Bombyx mori: one gene and its partner. The protein of the gene in region 1 binds, or shares a complex with, the protein of each later gene. Links are inferred from orthologs where the notes say so. Each region holds a gene or a part of one and is shown in the gene's direction. Other genes may lie near its edges.

Region 1 (4,445 bases):
TAGGATTGTTTCCATAATATGACACCAATTCAGTTAGAATAATCAGCATGATTTGACACACATTTTTTAATAATTTATATTTAATATTTCATAATTGAATAATTTTATGTAATTTAGTTTTGTCTAGTTTCCCAATTTTAGATCTACAGTTAGTTAAACTTATATTTGATTATATTTTTGTTCAGCAGAGAGAAAAAGCTAGAACAAATCATAGCACTAACTTCTACGATCCAAAGAATATGCATCCTATACTTATAAAAATGTCTAACAAAAGGTTTGAACAAAATCTAATATTACCTTTTTACCAGACTTTAGTATTTTATAAAATAAGGATTGTGCAACTAAGCATTTACTTTTAAATCTGCTATACTTTTTCAATAATCCTGCACAAAGATAACATACACACTGTGGTAGATCTGGAGAACATTCGGGCTGCAAAATAAATAAAAACATCGTCAATTAACAAAGTATGAATAAACAATTATAATCCCAAAGCAATTAAGCAGCAAGCAGCGAATCCAAATAAGGTATTATAATTTTTTTTTTTTAAATACACATGTTTTTGTTTTGATACACGTTTTTTTATTGAAAATTGGAACAATGTAGGACAGTAAAAAAAAGGCCGACCTATCTACTAGTTTATAATTATTCGTGCTCTACGGGATTTGAGGTTAGAATTGTTGTTTTTATCTTAGAAGTTGCATTTACTTTTCACGGAATATCATTATTATGACAAACTGTTTAATTCACTATTAAATATTACAAAAACCAAATTCAATTCCTATACAAACTAGAACCCGGTCAAACGTTACAAATCCAACACAATAGCTTTTCCGAATGAATGTAACTTACGTTAACTTCTACGATATCTTCATAATAGGTCTCCAATGGATAAAACTTTAAACTGTACATTTTAACATTAAATTCCAGACAGATCCGACAGACTGTATCGCTCCCCATAATTATCAAAATAACAATGTTTTGCTATGTTAATTTTGTCATTTTGTCACTATTTGTGTTTTTCTTTCTTACACTTTTTTTAAGTGATTTTATGACCTGGTAACTAAGACCTTTAGGTCATGTCTTATTTTAATTTATAGGTATTCTTATTTTTATGAAAAATGATAATATGGAGTGAAATGAAATCAAGATGATAATTTTGAGACATTAATCAACTAGGATGAAATAAAATGAAATGAGATGAGATGATATGGGATGAAATATAATCGCAGTAAAATGGTGGTCATTTATCATTTCATTTCATTTCACTCCATTTTATCATTTTTCATAAAAATAATTATATAAATTAAAATAAGACATGACTTAAAAGTCTTAGTTACCAGGTTATAAAAGCCATTAAAAATTATTAGTTTTTAATGTAGGTAGTCTGCAAGTAATAGTGTTCTGTGGTAGTCTGTCACATAGATTATACACTTAATATATGTCTGTCACTCGAATCAAAACAAAGTGGTTATTTAATTAATTCATGTATTGCTTGACTTGTTTGTTTATAATTATTTAAAATAGATAGTTGTGAAGGGCTTATATTTTCACCATGAAGTATGTCACTAATAAATGAATATATAAAAAAAACAAATACCATTAATTTAATAATCTCATTACTTTTTCAGGCTAACTGTCGATGGTTTATTGGTCTATTTCCCATACGATTACATTTATCCGGAACAGTATGCTTATATGTTAGAGTTAAAACGTGCATTGGACGCTAAGGTATTCAAAATCTGTATTAAAAAAGGAATCTACTTTAAACAAAATCCTAAAATTTTAAGGTTATGTTGTGTATCTTGCTTGAACTTGTAGGGACATGGATTGTTAGAGATGCCTTCCGGAACCGGAAAAACCATATCGCTCCTGTCTTTAATCGTAGCTTATATGATACAGAACCCTCATCATGTCAGGTAATTAAAATGAACAAGAACATTAATGATTAAAATTAATTAATTATAAAAAAATATGTACATATACTTTTTCAGAAAGTTAATCTACTGCTCTCGTACAGTGCCAGAAATAGAAAAAGTGTTAGAAGAACTAAAGAATTTATTCAATTATTATGAGAAATCTCAAGGAGAGAAACCGAACTTAACAGGAGTTGTTCTTAGTTCCAGGAAAAACTTATGTATTCATCCTGATGTAAGTTTCAATTTATAAGTCTGAACAAAAAATATTGTGCATTTGTTATCTATGATTAGTACTATATTTTTGGAATTATCTTCTTCTTTCTTTTCTATTTCCCTAGGCCGTGATGTAGGGCTCAAATAAAATTCTTCCATTTATATCAGTCTTGGGCAGTCTGTTCTAGCTCCTCTCATGTCATGTCCAAAACGCCCAGTTTCTGCTCTACTTTTGTTTTGGAATTATTTTAAAACAAATTTAAGTAACAAATGCATAGACAAAAAATATTAGAACCTTCCACCCTTGACCCATGCTCTATTGATTTGTGATTGCTAAATTTCAGTATCAGGATACTGGATGAAACACTTGTACGTAATTTAATACCTAAAAAGTAGGTGCCATGTTTGTGGCTTTATCATTCTGCTAGAAAAACATAAATGATCATAAATTGTTTTCTCCTTTTGAGTGCTCCTCAAATAGTAATCAGCCTAAGGAACTAGGGCATAGATTCCAGTTTGAAACAGCAAGATAAATAAAAAAAATTGAAATTTTTAACTAATGAAGATTTACAATATATAACAAAAAGAGACCTCATGAAACTTATTAAAATAATTAAAAAATACTTCATTCCCGAAGCTCTTATTTCATAAGCCCTTGATTTATTTATTTCAAAGAGAAACAAAAGCACTACAAAATTTTATTAAAGAACTTAAGTTAATTATTAAACTTATAGGTGACTTTTGGCATCATGGGAAATTTCCACCAAATAAATAATGTGGACCACATAATAATATGATTACCTCTCATCACTTCATTTGAAAATAATGCGTAGAGAAAATGCATACTTAAATTTATTTTATTAATAGGATATTATCGAAAAATTAATCTATTGTAATTTTTTTTAATAACAGGTATCAAGAGAAAGAGAAGGGAAGCTTGTAGATGGCAAATGTCATGCCCTCACAGCAAGCTATATACGAGACAGGCATGAACGTGATAGCTCTGTGCCAATTTGTAAGTTCTCGCCTTGATATGAGTTGTCTATTATCAAAGGTGGCAATCTGTGCATTTGGACAAAAAAATTTTATTGATATGTTTTTTTTATTTTTTTTTTATTGCCTTTGTAGGCAGACGGGCATACGGCCCACCTGATGGTGAGTGGTTACCGTCGCCCATGGACTTCAGCAATGCCAGGGGCAGAGCCAAGCCGCTGCCTACCGCTTAATACTCTCCACAAGCCTCGTTTGAAGAAGGACATGTCATAGCGCTCGGGAAACACCATGGAGGGGAGCTCATTCCATAGCCGGATGGTACGTGGCAAAAAAGATCTCTGGAAACGCACTGTGGATGATCGCAGTGGCTCCAGGTTGTATGGATGAACTCTACTCCGGTGGCGGGCGGTGCGATGGTAAAAACGAGATGCTGGTATCATCTCGAACAATTCCTCAGAGCACTCCCCATGGAACATACGGTACAAAATACAGAGGGAACCGAAGTCCCTCCGCAGACCCAGAGGCTCCTATTGATATGTCAATACAGATTGATTTGAATATAATCGTCTCCTTCAAAGAATACGGTTCAAAACCTGCATTAAATAAAGGTTAATACTTAACCTGTTATTTATCTAAGATGTCGTTCAGAAGAGTTTTGTGACTGCCAATGGAATACAAAGTCAATAATTCGTTTTTCTGATTTACCAATCATTGTCCAAAAGTCAGATTGCCGGCTTTGATAATAGTCGACTCATATAAAATATGTCTAAATTAATCTGTTTTTTTATTTTTATTTATTGCTTAGATGGGTGGATGAGCTCACAGTCCACCTGGTGTTAAGTGGTTACTGGAGCCCATAGACATCTACAACGTAAATGCGCCACCCACCTTGAGATAAAAGTTCTAAGGTCTCAGTATAGTTACAATGACTGCCCCACCCTTCAAACCGAAATGCATTACTGCTTCACGGCAGAAATAGGCGGGGTGGTGGTACCTACCCGCGCGGACTCACAAGAGGTCCTACCACCAGTAGTTACGCAAATTATAATTTTGCGGTTTTTATTTTTATTACACAATGTTATTTCTTTCACCTTGGAAGTTAATCGAGAACATTTGCTTATTATGTATTTTATTAGTATATGAAAGACTTGCATAGATATAAGATATTTACAACCGCTATATGTAGCAACTTGATTATTTATTTATTTCACATGCCGATAAGCATCAGTCACTGCTCAGTATCCTGTGGGCTGTACCTGCTACTGTGGATAAAAAAACTATTACTGTATTTTGTCATTGTGACCCCATAGACACAGGCTT
Region 2 (3,084 bases), on another chromosome or scaffold:
CCACCTTGAGATACAAGTTCTAAGGCCTCAAGTATAGTTACAGTACAAGTATAGTTCCAATTAAAATATATTTTGTAACAGTTAATTTGGCAACACAAGTGCCAAGCTACAGATTTATTAACTGAATGTTGTTTATAATTGGAAATGATAAGGAACAACGGAGTACGTTAACTCGACAATCATTATTTACTGCGTAATTAATAATATTCTAGTGAATATTAATACATATGAATATATTTTAGTGATTTGGTTTATAGAGATAGCCAGTGGCGTAGCGAGGGGGGGCAAGGGGGGATCATGCCCCGGGCGCTATTCACAAAGGGGCGCCAAATGGTCCGCAAAACAAAAAATTGCTGATTTTTTTTTTATAATTGATTTCTAAAAAATATATTTTTAATTTAGTACCAATGTACTATAATAAATGTTAATTCGTAAATAAAAAGGAAAAAAGGGGAGTTTCCACGCGAGTTTAGATCGTTACGCCACTGCACATAGCTTATGTCGAAGATAACCTAGTTGTCCTTTATTTACATAGCCACAACTACAAGAAGTCTCGTTATAGTCATATTTTAATTACCGAAATTAATTGATGAAAAGAGTGGGAAAATTAAAGTTAACCGCAGGATGTGGCATCTTTGGTTTTTTTGTTGCCTAGATGTGTGGACGAGCTCACAGCCCACCTGGTGTTAAGTGGTTACTGAAGCCCATAGACATCTAAAACGTAAATGCACCACCCACCTTGAGATATAAGTTCTAAGGTCTCCGTATAGTTACAACGGTTGCCCCACCCTTCAAACTGAAACGCATTACTGCTTCACGGCAGAGATAGGCAGGGTGGTGGTACCTACCCGTCCGGACTCACACTATAATTTTGCGGGTTTGACTTTTATTACACGATGTAATATGTCAAGTACGTATTTCATTAGAAAAATTGGTACCCGCCTGCGGAACTCGGACACCGTTGCATCGCTAGATACGAATGTACCGGACGTTTATCCTTTAGGCCACGACGACTACAGGTCTACTGGCTTCTTCCAAAAACTCCATTGAGCTCTTAGTTAATTTCCAGCATTTTACCGAAACGTTATATACATCATTTCAGTTCATTCAACACATACATAAGGCTGGCAAGAATGAGTGAGAGAAGCTGAAGATCGTGCTCGGCAATTGGAGAGGCCTATTTTCAGCGTTGAACTACTATAAGTTGATGATGATGATACATAAGGTTAGCTTAGTTCCATTTTACATTCATTCACCAGCAAGGTTAAACATCTTTATTACAAAAAAATTGGTTGTATGAGCTTCGTTCCCTTTGTCTGTGTAGTAAATGAAACAAAAAATATGTGACAAGCACAGAGGTTAGAATTTGGCTAACAAGTTGATTGTTTGGAAGTGTTATTCGTTATTTATTTTGTTATATATTAGATGGTGTTAGTTTCATTAAAAAGAAACCTAATTCATTAAATTAGATTTAAGAAACAGAAAATGCCTTACGCAAATCAACCCTCTGTTCACATAACAGAACTATCTGATGAAAATGTAAAATTCGTTGTGGAAGATACCGAATTAAGCGTAGCAAACAGTATGAGACGCGTATTTATCGCTGAAACACCAACAATGGCCATCGATTGGGTACAGTTAGAAGCTAATTCCACCGTTTTGAGCGATGAATTCTTAGCACACCGCATCGGTCTCATTCCGCTCATATCAGACGACGTTGTAGACAAAATCAGGTACTCGCGTGATTGCATGTGTGTTGATTTTTGTTCCGAATGCAGTGTCGAATTTACATTAGACGTAAAATGCACAGATGAACAAACAAGACATGTAACAACTGCTGATTTGAAATCGAGCGATCCTAGAGTTGTCCCTGTTACATCACGACATAGAGATGAAGACCAGGCCGATTATGGTGAAGCAGATGAAATATTGATCATTAAGTTACGCAAGGGTCAGGAATTGAAGCTTCGGGCATATGCAAAAAAAGGTTTTGGGAAAGAGCATGCAAAATGGAATCCAACTGCTGGTGTGTCCTTTGAATATGACCCTGATAATATAATGAGACATACGTTATATCCAAAACCAGATGAATGGCCCAAAAGCGAGCACACTGAACTTAATGAAGATCAGTATGAGGCGGACTTCAACTGGGAAGCGAAACCAAACAAATTCTTTTATAATGTAGAATCATCAGGAGCTCTTAAACCAGAGAATATTGTATTAATGGGAATAGTTGTACTGAAAAACAAATTACTGAATCTTCAAGTGCAGTTAGCGCAAGAGGCACAAAATGATGCCTTAGCAATTAATTGATTTCATAAAATCTAATATTACAATAAATTTAATTAGATAATAAATGTTTTTGTAATTTAAGTTTACATTTTACCTTATGGTGTGTATAAGCCTTCATTTTTCAAAAGCTTAGAATGTTATACACAGTATTTCAGTCTGCAGTCTTTTTGAGAAAAAATCATACTAAAGTGAATGTTTCTGTTTCACATCAAAAACTAGTAATACTTGTGGAATGCAATTAAGAGGTTTATACACAACTTGCACAACATGAATACAACTTTAAACACAAATTAATACTACGGCCTTGTAATCACAAGAAACATATGATTTAATAATAATCTGCAGCTTTTTGCCTAAGAAGATACTCAGTAGCTACTAAATAAAAAAGGAAATTTTACTTTCTGATACATAGATATGGACAAAAAAATTAATGTTACAATAATTTCTGTTTAATTCATTGTACATATTAATTTAAGTAGTTAAACTTTCATAAAAGTATAGAAACTTAGAACCAATATTGTTTTATTATTATGTATACATAATCAATTAAAACATTTGTCACTTTATACACAGCAGTATTATTCTGTTGTTTAGAACAATTAGTGATGTGATCTTACTGCAAAAAACAATTCAAAATATTCATTAGATGTATATTTTTTAATTGCCCTTGTAGACAGACCAGCATACGGCCCACCTGATGGTGAGTGGTTACCGTCTCCCATGGACTTCAGCAATGCCAGGGGCAAAGCCAAGATGCTGCCTAGCGTGTTGAATAATATAAGTATTGGGTTC

What was found.
Region 2: general transcription and DNA repair factor IIH helicase subunit XPD (region 1) and DNA-directed RNA polymerase II polypeptide share a complex: the UniProt entries of both Homo sapiens proteins name them as parts of the TBP-based Pol II pre-initiation complex. The link is inferred for Bombyx mori from reciprocal best matches to the Homo sapiens genes ERCC2 and POLR2C.

Annotation. Positions count from the first base shown.
Region 1 is NC_085127.1:13,502,612-13,507,056, forward strand, and holds the start of general transcription and DNA repair factor IIH helicase subunit XPD, read left to right. Parts: upstream 1-1,381; 5' UTR 1,382-1,555; coding exon 1,556-1,560; intron 1,561-1,631; coding exon 1,632-1,731; intron 1,732-1,821; coding exon 1,822-1,919; intron 1,920-1,994; coding exon 1,995-2,151; intron 2,152-3,044; coding exon 3,045-3,147; intron 3,148-4,445. Other genes in the region: zinc finger protein ZFP2, read right to left, coding at 298-432, 853-960. UniProt on the Homo sapiens protein: ATP-dependent 5'-3' DNA helicase. Component of the general transcription and DNA repair factor IIH (TFIIH) core complex, not absolutely essential for minimal transcription in vitro.
Region 2 is NC_085131.1:5,447,802-5,450,885, reverse strand, and holds DNA-directed RNA polymerase II polypeptide, read left to right. Parts: upstream 1-1,374; 5' UTR 1,375-1,485; coding exon 1,486-2,313; 3' UTR 2,314-2,344; downstream 2,345-3,084. UniProt on the Homo sapiens protein: Core component of RNA polymerase II (Pol II), a DNA-dependent RNA polymerase which synthesizes mRNA precursors and many functional non-coding RNAs using the four ribonucleoside triphosphates as substrates.